Linked DNA regions of Oreochromis niloticus. The protein of the gene in region 1 interacts with the protein of each later gene in a biochemical or structural test. Links are inferred from orthologs where the notes say so. Each region holds a gene or a part of one and is shown in the gene's direction. Other genes may lie near its edges.

What was found.
Region 2: the proteins of fcho2 (region 1) and disabled homolog 2 form a complex in vitro, tested with the Homo sapiens proteins (2 studies listed by BioGRID). The link is inferred for Oreochromis niloticus from reciprocal best matches to the Homo sapiens genes FCHO2 and DAB2.

The regions. Positions count from the first base shown.
Region 1 is NC_031972.2:14,029,245-14,036,637, forward strand, and holds the start of fcho2 (F-BAR domain only protein 2), read left to right. Parts: upstream 1-4,307; 5' UTR 4,308-4,503; coding exon 4,504-4,536; intron 4,537-7,393. Other genes in the region: tnpo1 (transportin-1), read left to right, coding at 54-161. UniProt on the Homo sapiens protein: Functions in an early step of clathrin-mediated endocytosis. Has both a membrane binding/bending activity and the ability to recruit proteins essential to the formation of functional clathrin-coated pits.
Region 2 is NC_031972.2:13,876,424-13,883,364, reverse strand, and holds the start of disabled homolog 2, read left to right. Parts: upstream 1-3,855; 5' UTR 3,856-3,984; intron 3,985-6,941. Other genes in the region: complement component C9, read right to left, coding at 550-725, 1,008-1,142, 1,255-1,495, 1,600-1,821, 1,930-2,068, 2,841-2,982, 3,062-3,212, 3,434-3,518 and 1 more. UniProt on the Homo sapiens protein: Adapter protein that functions as a clathrin-associated sorting protein (CLASP) required for clathrin-mediated endocytosis of selected cargo proteins.

The DNA.
Region 1 (7,393 bases):
TTTATTTTGAAAGGCACTCCTCAGTATAAACATCTCGTGGTGTTTAATTTCAGATCCTTCATGGGTTTAAGAACCAGGTGGGAGACGACAACTGGAGACGCTTCGCAGATCAGTTTCCAATGCCACTGAAGGAACGGTTGGCAACCTTTTACGGGGTGTAACTGTTTCCACAGCACGTGCCTCATCGTTGGGGTCGGTTCCACTCTGAAAATAATTTTTATTATTTAACCCAAAATGCTGCATCCTAATCAGGGTTTTCTCTATATACAGGTCATTCACTATGGGAGACAATATCGGGAACCATCCCAGGGAGCATGTTACCCTTTACTGGGGGGAAGGATCTGCCTGCTGAGGGAAGGGGAAGGGGTGCTGACCCCCTCCTTGACCTGGTGGATGGGGTGGGAGGGAGATGATAGCTACAGTTCTCAGTGCCCCTATGCACAGGCAAAGGGGCAAAAGGGACTGGCAGGACAACCTTATCACTGGAGGAAAATTCATCTAATCATATCTCAATCAGAAATTGTAGTTTGTTGGTTGTTGTTGTTGTTTTTTTTTTGTTTGTTTGTTTGTTTTTGCTTTTTCCTCTCCATTTATTCTCCAAACATCTTGTTTTCTGGACTACTGAGAAGAAATGAATGCAAAAATGGAGAAATCTTTACAAAACCCTGTACTTTTTGTTAGACAAGGAGAAATGTAGGTCTTCTGCTCAGATATGCGTTTATAAGCGTAAACGAGAAGTATTGTGAAGTAAAGCTGAAGGTTCTTTGAGACACATTTCTTGTAAGTACAGAGATGGTTTAAAGTTCCTATAGAAAAGGCTGTTTTGTCACAAGGAGCACATAGTTTTTTTTTGTTTTTTGGGGGGGGGTGGGTGGTTGTTCTTTAAATGAGCAGCTTTTCTGAAAATGGGTAGCATGTGTATATCATTGTGGAAAAGCTGTAGTGAAATGTGTTGACAGCTGTCGTTGAGCTTTGATAAGGTTCTTTTTTTGGGTCTTGTATTTACAGTACTCATGTTTTCTTCTACTGGAGATTTACGGCAATCAGCTGTAATGTAGCATGACGGGCTTTACACACACTGACTTTTAGGAAAATGTGTAAAATCTTGGCTGTGGCGTGATGTCCGAGTGAATCATTGTTTGGTCTTGTGGCGTGAATGTGACATGGACATTCATCTGCAGGCATATCAAAGCTTCAGATGCTTACTTTATCCTTTTATATTGTCTGAGCCTCGGAAAGGACAAATGAAGGAGAAGCATGCAGGATAACAAGATCCTGTTTGTTGATTATTGTGTCATTGTGTTTTGGACGTAAATATCACAATGACACAAATCCTGTCTCAGTGATTTTTTTTAATTTTTTTTTTTATTTTGATTTTTTGTGACTTTGGTCGTCAGAACCATATAAACCATCAAATCAATGTTAACTATGTTAATTTCTCAATGTACTGACGTTTTTGTTATTGATTGTTGGAATTTTTGTGCTAAAAGCATGATCTTGAGGATGACTTTCTAATGTTTTGGGTGGTTGTCACTGTGGGGTACTTTCATCTTTTGCATGTTGGTGGCCCCTTACACCCCAACTTAAAGTGGGAAGGTTGCAGGAGCTTCAATCAAGTTTTTGCTTTATTTATTTTTTTTATAGCAACCACTTATGTTCAGCATCACTGTGACTTTTAAAGTCTTCACAGTAATCTTGCTGGAGTGTTCTCTCCCTCACGTTTCACCTGTAGTTGGATGTGTAGATTTTAAATACTGTGAAATTACATGTTGTTGTCTTCTTGTGTTGCAGTGTTATGTTTTTCTTTTTTTTTAATCTATATGTTTAAGTTGCAGATGGCCTGAATGTATTCCATGATGGATTTTTATTTTTTTTTTATTTTTATATTATTGTTTTGTTTAATTTTAATTTTTTTTATTTTTTATGCCCATCCATTCTTCCTCTGCTGGCCAGAGTAATAACTGCAGTATTTAAATCCTTTGTGATGCACCTACAATTTACTTACTTGCTTACCGACTTACTTACTTAGCAAGTGCTTAAAATGAATGATGTAGCCAAACACTTTAGAATATGACCCGACAGATCGTTAAGCATTGCTGCTAAAATGTGTGGACCTTAATGCATTAAGCATCTTGATCCAATTGGGATATTGGAGTGTAGAAGTAGTTTAATGTATTGGCTCAACTGCCACATTATGAAGTGTATTACTAATGTTAGATGAAACATGTTTTGAGGACGTACACGATGAATGCAGGTTATAATGCATCATGGAATACAGAGGCAAATACTCGTATGTGTCACATCTTTATGTGTTTAGAAGTGATTTTTGTCTTGTCACATTCCAGCTGTTTGGCTTGCAAAAATATGAAGTAATCGCAGCTTGACGGGGTGGATGTGCACACACTTCTGTTCTTTCTTCAAAAGATAGTAGTACTACAAAACACACAACAATCCCAATTTCTACTGTGCTATAATTTTGACGTAACTGCTGCTATACATTGTACTTGTGTTTCACTATATGAATATGTTTTTGTGTTAACCTCAGGTTGTGTTTATGTCTAGTGTGTATGTGTGTGTTTGTTGGTTGGTTTTTAATTGGTTTCCTCATGTCTCCACCTTTCCACATCTTTTCAAACAAGGAAAGATTGGTTTAAAAACCCACCCCATCATCTTCAAAATGGGTGTTAATTCACATTAGCGTTAATACATGCAACACTGCTAGCTGAACAGTGGGATTACAGTTGGAAACCAGGAAGTAGGAATGATTCCTACTTTTACATCCTTATTGTCAAACGTGATTGTTATCAGGCTTAGGTAAATGGTGTAATCTCTGCACAATGCCTTGAATGCAAATACTTTGAGGATTTTTGCTGGGGTTTTGCAATAGAAATACAGTACACTGTATGTAGAGATGCAGGTGAAAGCTGATTTAAAAGTAATTGCATATGTTGACAACTTAAAAACTCTCTGCAAATATAGGTTTGACTTTCTATGAAGCTTTATTGAAAAATTTGTATTTTATAAAGCACCCATTAATATTAAGGAATGTCTAGTCAAGGAGCTCTAGTAGTCTACAGTTTAATTAGCCTTTAAACTTGATTAGATTATCTGCCTTCATCCTTTTGCTAATGAAAGTGAAAACATTCTCATCGACATGTTTTGATTTTTCTTCTTTTTTTTTATAAGCTGCTGAATTTTAAAAATAAGTAATACTTTTGGGGCCACCAAATTTTTTGGATCATGCAAAGACTCTATATTGTACTGTAGTAATTTTGTAATATTTGTAAGATGATATAGTGGGTGTGACTGGTTACCATTGCTTGAATCTGTACATTGTTCCAATAAATTGTTTACATTATTGTGGGCCTTTATCATGTATTTTCTCCAAGGTTTTTTTTTTTTCTTTGCAATGTCACTGGTAAATTATCAGGCTTTGTGAAATTTGAATTACACAAATAACAGACTCTGTCCACTGTGCCGACTCTAAATGGGCCTTTAAATACAATATTTATCTATAAAGCACTTTGAAACAGCCACAGCAGATGCAAACTGGTTGTACACAAAAGTGAATAAGTAGAGTGAAAGCAATCATTTACAAAAACAACTATCGTACAATTAAAAACAAGTAAGATCAACGTCTCACACTGGGTCAAAGGCCAGGCAATATACAGGTGTTTAAGACAAGATTTAAAAATGAACAATGTAACTGTCTAACGTGGAAAGACAATTTATTCCAAAACCTAGATGCTTGTTGCCTGACAGATGATGATTTGCAAAACCTTGAAAAGTGACATACTGCTACAAATCTATAAATCAGTTTAAATAAATGTAAAGGCTTATTCATAGACTTGGTGTTAGAAGACCTTTTCTTATGCTTTAAATAAACCACAACCGTAACAAGAGTATTTGCTTTTGCAATATTTGTGGAACGTGTGTTGAATAAACAATCCCACTGGAAAATGACGTTTAAACGGGTATGAATAATCTTTACCCACTAGTGCACAACAAATCGGCACATAGATTTATTAAACAGGGAGACATATCTGTAGATGCTGAATTTGTAATGCTGACTAAAACAAACAGTAATATAGCTAATAATATCTTATTATTTATTTTTATATACTATTATTTTCACATAGCTGCGTTAGAGTTTATGTGTATTTTAGTCAATTTTGGCCTTCTGTGTGAAATGCTGCCTTCAAATGTACGTAAAGCATTTGAAGGCAGCATTTCACCCGGCGACTGTGGTGTCTCTCTTCGCCATTGATAGCGCTGTTTCACCCACTGAACGTCTACATTTCTACGGGAATAAACCATAGGGGAGAGACGCAGTATAGCCGGGTGGAGGTGGAGTCTGTAGGTGGGGAGGGAGAAGAAAGGGGAGAGGAGGAAAACGGGGAAAGGCAGATACAAGAGAAACAGGGGGAGGACGGTGGATGATATACGCTTCAAAAGTTGCATTACAACAAATTGAAGAGTTGTGGCGAAGAGGAATAAAGCAAGATGATAACGCCGTACTTCCTAGAGAATTTCTGGGTAGGTGGTGCTTTTTTATTCACGGTGTTTACACCGGCGCTATTCTCATGCTATGTTCCCTGCTTATCATGTTCATGCCAATCAGGAATCAAGTGTTATTCGTTTTGCAGAGGAAGTCGTCTAGCTCACAAGCTTAGTTCCCTCTGAAGTCGCAGTGTCCTGGTCAGCAACCCCGCGGCCACCGCTAATTTCCTTCGGCAAATATTTTGCTACCCCGGGGTTTGGGCCTCTGTGAACCAATCTAACTTGAAACGTCGAAGCGTCCACCCCTGTTCTCTGTCAATTGGCTCGGTCAGGATCGCTTGGAACGTATATGGTCAGTTCCCTGAATGCTATTGGACGCCTCGGCTGTCAGTCATAGCCGTTGGTCGTACGCGTCATTTTCTTCCGTGACAAAGTTTCAGTGAGACACCAGATGTTAGTAAGTTAGAATAAATTTAAAAGCATCAATACCAACCTAATTAGCGATACTTTATTTCGTACAGCTGGTGCCGCAGACCACAGGCTGTGTTAAGCTGAGCTCAGCGCTTTCTGCGTACTGCCTAAAGGTCATTTCTCTTCCGATAATAATTTGACGTGGCTGTGTCAAAGCAGGTGGGAAACTAGAAGTCTGCCTTTACTACTTGTTACACTACACCGAAGTCACAAAGATAGTGCCATTAGAAGTGAAACTCGCACAGCATTAGCCTCATTAGGGCTACTCCATGTCAAGACGGTGTATGTATTTCACTATAACAAGTATGGGTTATGCGTTATAGCTTAAATGTTACAAATTCTAACAGCGACATAGTTTTGAATAAAACCCATAAGTAAATTTGTAGCTAAATGTTGTAACTTCCCCCTTTCTTTTTCTGTTCTTTTTGTTAATCTGTTACTCATTTATATATAATACAACAGGACTCTCAGCTTGAAACAACCAATCAGAATCTGTTCTTGTCTTCTTTAAGGTGGACAAACACATCCTTAAGTTTTAGCCTTAGTTGAACTCTGGAGGTGATCCAGGGCTTATAAAGGGACTGTAATGAATATTTGTGGAAAACAACATTAAGCTAAGTGCTTGAAGTAATTACCAATAACACTGCTGTTACCCACTAACACCTTTTTTGTTCCTAAATGAGAGTTCATCAATGTCTAAATGGCAAAAAGAGGAGCGATCAGAGACACTCCTGACTCTTCAATCTGCCCTTTGTGCCCTGCTGTGAGCCACAAGAGAATCCAGTGATGGTAGCGATCAGCTGTGTGTTTAACATGCAGGACACACATGAGCGCACATACTTGGCACTGGGAGGAGATGCATCCTATTCCCTTTTGACTCGACTACAAATCATCATCATCTCTATCAGACATATTGAGTTTTTCAGTTTGTTTGTTATACTGCTAAGCAGAGAGGTTTTCCCCATTCACATCCCATGATCTTTCACCTTTTTTTCCGATGTTTTCATTACATTTTTTGTTTTGCCCTTGTTTGTCATCTATACAAAATGGATCTCCTCAGCTGAATATACAAGTTCTTTAGGAATTCAGGCAGTGCCGTTTATCTGTCATAGTTGCAGCACTGGACTGGTCACCAGCTGCAACATTTCTACTCCTTGGATTTATTTGCAGGCTTTGTTTCATTTCCTTTTTCTTTCTCTGTACGAAATCTAAGCAAGAGTTTGGTTTCTTAATGGAAGTTCTGGCGCAAAAGTGCAAGATGTGGCCTATGTGCTGAAATGCCTGAGTCATTGGATTGTTGTAGCAAAACCATGATGACCTTATGTTTAACAGATTAGCACTGAGTAGGCAGTATAGAGACAGCCAGTATGTTGTCTTATATATTGTCCCACACTTCACACACAGCGTCCGAATGACACGGCAAAGAGTGAAGTTAATAAAGTGGTGGACAGGAGTGACACACATCCTTTTGGCTGCCTCATTTTCTTCAGCTGTCTCTCAAATCAAACCAGTATGGCTCTGCCTTCAGAGGAAGGGCTTGTTGAGGTTTTGTAACTGGATTGAGTGGTGGTTCAACCCAACAGCCTTGAGAATCAGTAGCAATTTTCTAAGATTACCAGAGAGTGAAAACATTACACTAATTATGGTTTTTGTGTGAAACAAACATCCTGCCTCTTGCTGGTTGTTGTTCATTTTTCCCTTTATATTTAAATGAGTCGGTTTTAGTTGCATTAGACCAACCTGTTTTGGCGTTATCATCACTAACAAGTTAAGTAATGGTCAAGTTTTCATTTGTTTCTACCACAAACAAAGCCCAGCCTCTGTGTGCATACCGCATACTAAAGCTGCGTGTGTTGTCTGTGATGAGCTGTGATAGCTCAGTGCACCGCTCCCAGACCTCTCTGGTCACATGACTGAGGCCAGACACTCTGATGTCAAGGCACCGTCTGCGCAGCTCATGTCTGTGTGCTCCACAGGCTGTACCGGCCACCGTTTACAGTCTGTGTTGGAGAGACACTGTGTTGTTTGGCTCTGTCTAAATTCCTCAGGGAGAGCGTGCAATTCTTTCCACTGCTCTCACCTGAGCACACACCGGAACAGGAGAAGAAGTTGTGTCAGCTTAGACACTTCTAATCCTGTGTATTGTTTCCCCCTTCCTAAAGCACAACATCAGTGCTGTAATAACAAGCATGGGAAACTTATGAAGTTTTTTCATAAGTTTCCCCTAGAGCTTAGGTAAACTGCTACACTGTGCCACTTTCCTGCCTGCATACCAAAGATTTACACACTCAGCACCTATGTGCAATAATTCATTTGCCCATAGTCCCAACTTCACACATTTAGCACATTAGAAAATTTTAAATTGTAATTCTTTACTCAAGCACATTTATTACATGTCCTACATATATGTTGTTTAACTGAA
Region 2 (6,941 bases), about 150 kb from region 1:
ATTACAGTGGTCCCTCGCTATAATGCGGTTCACCTTTGGCGCCTCGCTGTTTTGTGTGCAATTTTGCACGCTTTTTGTTTTTTTACAGCGCATCGTGTTCTGCGTCCTGATTGGCTGTAGACCATGGTCAGTCAATCTCGTGCCGTGTCTCCTGTACAGTGCAGAATGCGTTCAGCTTGTCAAATTTACATAAATCTTCGATCACTAGCAGTGTGACTCTGAAGTGCTGGACCGCGGGTGCCTTTGGTTTCATTCTATAATACTGGACTTATTTTTCTACAAAGGTTTGAACTTTGAGAGAGTTTAAACAAGAGAGAAAAGTGTGAAAATGTTCATGCCTTTCTGAGAAAAGTGTATAAAGTGTGTAGTGAGGGGTTTTACAGCCTTAAAACATCTATAACAATTGTAAAAAATAAAGTTGGCTACTTCGCGGATTTCATTTATTGCGGGTTATTTTTAGAACGTAACTCCCGCATAAACACATACATTTATACAGTATGTGTAATTCAGTTTAACTTGCTCTCGCCTTGCTGTGACCTTTATACGTACCTCACTGTGGAGCAATGCAGGGGCATCTGTGATGGTCCGGGCCCATTCCTGATATGTTGCAATGTCCATCACTCCGTCCCTATTTAGTTTAGCTCTCATACTAACAGCACTTTGTAGGGTACCTCCCTTGACTGATGTCATCACCTCATCCACCATAGCTTTTCCTTCAGCCTTACCTGTGTGGCAACAGAAAAGGAAACTTTAGTGACTTTTCATAATCAGTGCAGTGACTCGCTCCAAATTCAGTTTTAGACTTTAACTTTGGATTTGAACTTTACTGTTTTAATACAGTTAAGTTTCATGCATACAGCATTCCTTTCTTCGTTTTCTTTTTTCCGGACTAGTTGAAGTAAAACACCCAAATACACTTAAACTGTGAAAAGTGGTTGGGAATTTAGTCAGAATCATCAAGCATGCTAGCTTTGTTCATTTAACCTGGAAAAACAGGGAATGCAAACCTTCGTTCTTTTCTGTTTTATTATCACAATTTTTAGGCTTATAGTGTCCGCTTAAACTGTCCGTCGTATGTATGGAACTGAGGCCTCCTTCAATGCCTAATGTGACGCACTCTTGAACTTCTCTCTGCGTCATATCTGCAAGAACAATAAAGTATAGATAATTAGTGCTTATCACTTGTATTTAATCAACATACCATAAGGCTGAAGAAGCTTCATAGCAGAAAAGAATTATTTCAAATAGACATACTTCTTTGCTTAATGGTGTCATGGTCGAGGACATAGATCAATTCGTATTCACCGCCGGTTTTCCCATTTTTTGTGTAATGGGTTCCATAGTCCTCCAGGAAGGCAAAATAAATTCCCTTCTCGTATTGCAAAGGTAAAGATTTGACATGCGCCAGGAATTCATCTGCTACTTTGAGCTCACGGGAGCGCATCCTGTAGGTGCTCAATTGTACTTTGCCCTTCACCCGCATAAAGGTGTTGTTCTAAGTTTGTGGGGTCGAAAAAAATAGAGATGCAGCTTGTCCATAGAATATTGATTATTCTGGGTTGTACATTAGATTCTGTGAAATTATTAGAGGATATTTACCTTAATTTTGGTGTTTTCGGTGACCGTTTTAATCATTGATTTCTTCTCATACTGACTCTCTAGTTTAAAATTTAGAGAAGTATTGGACAAAGACACCTCAGTTGGGGTGAATTTGAAAGAAAGACCAGCATCAATGTTGACACTCATCTCAGTGAGGATTTCACGCAGAAGGCTGTGAGTGTTTTCGAAGAGTTCTTTCGAAGCTGTTTCCTCCACTAATGTCTGAGACAACGGAATACATATATCAGTATTAGGTGGCAAAACAAAATCCTTTACATGTGTTCACGATCAGTTTATAATACTGAAATTTTTTTTGTTGCCATGGTTAACCTGATAGTTAAGCACGCCGACGTTCCAGGGCAGCCTGTCAAACGTCCCAGTGTTTGGATTCCTCACTCGATCACATCTCCCATTGAAGTAATCATTGTTGAATGGGTTCATTCGAGGATCTGTACCCAAGATGTTGATTCTGGTGGATGAACATAGAGGCCACTTTAAGACTTTTACAGTGTTATCCCAGTTCAAGAGTTTTAATATTATAGAAGGCCTCCTCATTCTCCTTCTTTGTGAGAGTCAGGTGAAAAGACTGATACCACTCGTGCACTCTATCTATCCATTAAACAGGATGTTAAAGTCGGAAGATCCAGGTTAAATAGCTTAGACTCTGGGTAAAATAGCCAGTACTTCCATCCAGACAAAGATTTCCTCTTATGTGAGCTGGTCATTCTTTATGATTTCAGTTAAATATAAAAAGCCATAAAAAGATAAATTGTCTGTTTAATAGGATAAAGTTCAAACCTGGCCAAGCATGGTTGGTTAGTGGCCTCAAATTAAGTACGCACAGCAAGCTCCCAGTACCCAAAGTCTATCCCTTGCCTGAAGATTCTGCATTTTTATAAGCCGATATCTTTTTGTAGGTTTGTTTCCTGCCTCATTTATGACACCTATCAGTGAAATTAAGGTGTTCATCAGTCTTTTGGTGAAAAATTTCATAACAGACCAGCTATTGTTAAAAATATTAAGAAACAAAATCTGTGAATTTTTTTGCTCAAAAGCAGCTCACATTTAAAACGCCAACTCTGCTAGGAAGCTGGTTTTCTGTAAACATTATCACCAATAGATGTTTATGTAGATGTTCACCCCAATGTAAATGATTTACTCTTTCTACCAAGTATTCATTTTACTTTGCTAATTTATACTGACTCTTTATTTCCCACTGACTGAGCTCTTTAATAACTTACCCATATCCTGCTGTCCTGCCTTGCTCATTGCTGTCAAGGACTGCCGAGCCACAGGGTTTACGCTCTGTCTCACAGTCTTCATCTGATCCATCTTCACAGTCATAGTCTCCGTTGCACATTAATCTCCTTTTAATGCAAGACCCTGTGCAGAGACAGAGAATTGCATGATACTGCTCCCCAAAAACAAAGCGATAAAGACAGAGGTACTAATACTGTGGTACCTGACTCGCACTGGAACTCTGAGTCTGAGCATGCACGGGGAGGCGGTAGCTCGCATTCACCATCAGCTACACAGAACTCCCTGTCTCCTATCGATTCCTGGCAGGCTCTACCTCCAAACTGGCCAAATGCTTCTACACTTCGAGAACGCCTCTGAGGATAATACATAGTGTCACATTAAAGATAAAGGCAGAGAGCAGCACTGCAAAAGAAGATTGGCTGTTATGAGCCGCACTGTGCATAGGTAGCAGACCCCTACTTCACCCTGTTTAGTCTGATTATTTATTATTATAGACTTAAAAAGTTAAAAGCATTCTAGCTTGGGCACTAAAGTTCACAGTCTCTGACACTGACCAAAATCCTAATTGACTCACTCTGGTTTTTGTGCAGGGATCACAAGAACTCCACCCTGACCAACGACTCCATGCACAGTCCACAGCTGGTGGATCAGGATTAGCCCTAAAATACACAAATTAGACACAATAAACTCTCTAAATAATAATAGTAAATGATTAAACAAACATCCTTAATGTTGTGTAAGTGAAGCAGGAAATATACATACATGCCTTCCCCAAGAAGTGCCAGAGTTAGACAGAGGCCAGCGAGGGCCAACTGGAGAGCGACTTCAAGCCTCATCATGAACCTTTGACAGCACAAATGATACCGTGCCTGTCCCCATTTAGTCCTTTAAGCTGCCACCTTGTTAATGATTATCCAACTGCAAAAGGACAGTGTTTTTGTTGTTGTCACAGTCAATAATTTGGATTTCAGGTGCAGCAAAAATCAATTCAGTGCTCGGAAACTCCCAAAGCAGACTTTACAGTGTTTGTCTGCATATAAACATCTTACTCACACAGTGAAGTCAATCTTTTATTCTTCACAATGCGAGCAAAGCACCCGCAAAAACACAATAACTACTATAAAAGTAAGTAATAAATCCTCTCCTTTCATAATCTATAGAAAGCGGTTATTTTTTTCATTACATTCATTTGTTTGATTAGTTATGAGCTAGTGTGTTGGTAAGGAAAACCATGATTTACTACAATAACAGAGAAAGATTGTGTTTCTAAGTATTACAATTTCCTGCTAAATGCCACCAAAATATAACAAATGAAAAATACATTGAAATGATAAAAGTGCAAATTGGACACCCTATTAAATTTATTTGGGCAAAAAAGTGCTACACTCCATAGCTCTTTGGATATTTTCTATTGGATTCTCTTTATAATATTAATTCACAATTTAATTTAATTGAAAATATATGAATTTATTAAGAACCACGTATTTCATCTGTAGCCTAATATACAACAAAAAAGAATGAACCATTATTCAATTTTTAAGTAAATATAAAAATGTGTTTTAAAACTATGGGAAGGTGTAAATGATCCCAAGCACTGGGTTTAAAGCAGAGACGCACATTTAGAAATTATATATAATTATTCTTTTTTCTGTTTATTTTCAGATTTCTTCTTTTGAGACATTGTTTTTAAGACCATTTGTTCATGTTCGTGTTTCCAGGATTACGCAACCATGCAAACAAGTCTGCAGCAAAGCAGAACAAATATTTAAAGACTCAGTTCTTGACTGTTGTAATACATTGGCATGATGCATCCACGGTACATTTAGGTCATCGTCTAAGATTGGGAAATGGAATGACAACACTAAATGTGAAAATGAATTTTCATTCAGTCCCACTGCTGAAAAAAAAAAGGTTGAATTTAGTGTAGCTGGTGTGCTGAAGTAGAGCTCTTTGTCCACCAGATGGCAACGCTGAACAGGAAACAGTAGTGTTAGTTTTGTCCTTTCTTTCACTCATACTCAGTTTTTGGGTTTAGGTGGAAGGAACATTGTTTACTCTGCAGTTGTAGAGTCTGGAAAGCAATGTGTAATGCATACACATGAATCCAAGTATTTCTCAAGTATCTGTTTTCTTTGTTAAATATACCTTTAAAAATAAATAAATAAAAAAAGCCTTGCACAACGCACAGTGAGGTTTGAACTGTTGCACCCAATCTATCATGTGATCGGGGAGACTTTTGCTGAGTGTGCAGAACTTTGTTCTTCAAGTGGAGCGAGTGCAGTTTGTATAATTTTTTTTAAGGCAAAATAGATTAGTTCTTAGTGAAGAATGCTGAAAGTAGTCTTTAAATGTAGGCAAGCAATAATTAAACTGCAATAAAAGTTTGAAAAGCTGATTAGTCACGATCGGGGCAATTATTATTAACAGAGCAGAGAGAACATTTGTAAAGTGCTGGGAGGTGAAGGGCTGACAAGTTTTTGCTTTTGTTGCTCTGAGGGAGTAACACTGATCTTTAATTCCAGAATATTCTGCATGCTCACAGGTACTTTTCTGCTGACTTCAACAAATAAACTCAGTCCTTTCCCTGATATCTCCAGAGTCATTCTGGGGGCTGCCCCGTGCTGGTTCTTTCCCTGTATCTGCAAACAAAGCTGGGGTATTCTAGGGGCTGTGTGGTCGTGGCCTAATGGAGAGGCACAAATATGTGCTGAAGTCACCACTTTTATGAGTTTCGACAGTTTCCTCCCTGCTTTCCCAGGAAACCAAAGGGTAGTTAAGGTGCTTGGCAAATGTTTCTCCTGACTAGAAAGACTTCCTGTTTTTTGAGGGGGAGCTGAAACTGTGTGGAAACACTTGTGGGACAGCATACTACACAGTCGCTCTACTACCAGTAGAATGCTGTCATCGTATTTATCAGAATACCATGACGGTGCTTCCTGCACTGCCATTTGCCCCACTGCTGTGTGTTGTTCTTTAAGAACTAGCTGCTAAAGACACTTGAGGGTTAAAGAACAAAGAGGGACATAGACAAAAAAAATCTACCTCAATTATGGCTTGGAGATAAGTGGCTATCTTTGGTTCTGGCTGTGGTGGCAGGCAGTCCCAGGATTCACGCCCTAAAATGCTTGATGTTTGGATTGTGGCCTTCCTGTCATAAACTAAGGGAAGGACACTTCCCATTAGACTTTCTCTGTCAGCATTCCATCATGAAATAAAGGCTCTAATGTGCCAGTGCTGACTTTTGCCATCTGTACACTGTTTTTTTTCTGTTTTTGCAAAGAGTTTCTTAAAACGTAGTTTTTAAGTACAGACAGTAGCATCAAACATGTACTTGTGTGTGCAAGTGCTAGTAGCACTGGGTGTGCCACTGACCTCAACTGACAATGAATCACTTTTAGAAGAACAAGGAACCATATCTTTTATCACAAGTCACTGGACAATGGTGCTGAATTGGAAAGACACGTCATGGCAGGAAAACATGATTCTTGTACTGATGTGCATGGAAGAAAAAAACAAAACAACTAACCATACATAATAATAGACACTACCAACATCCGTCTAAATACAGCATGTTGTCACATGCATATTCTTTCCAGATGATCTGCAAATGTAGGCAAATATCTGATAACATCAAAGTCTTTAATAAGAGGTTCTGAAAAAGACCATTCCAGCGGTTGGTGACCAAAGGGGAAAACAGACTCTCAGCGAGACAGTAATCTGGCTTCCGTGGGGCTCATCTCCTAAAAACCAGCCTCCGTCAGCAGAACACAGGATACAGAGTCAGGAAAGACATCCTTCCTCTGTCCTTTTCTCTCTCATTTCTCAGCTCTAAACCCACAAAACACAATATACTGTACATCTGTTAACATCAACAACACATCGCGCTTGCACTTTTTGAGAAATCTGCACACGGATCAGGTTTGAAGTCCTCATGCAGAATTTGCAATCTGGTGAATTAGCTGAGGTATACCGAGATTATTTCTCCTTTTTATTTCACATTTACAATGAATGCAATTGGGGGATAAATAGAAACTAAAAATTATTATCATTGCAAAACTATTTTATTTACTTTTTAATGAGTC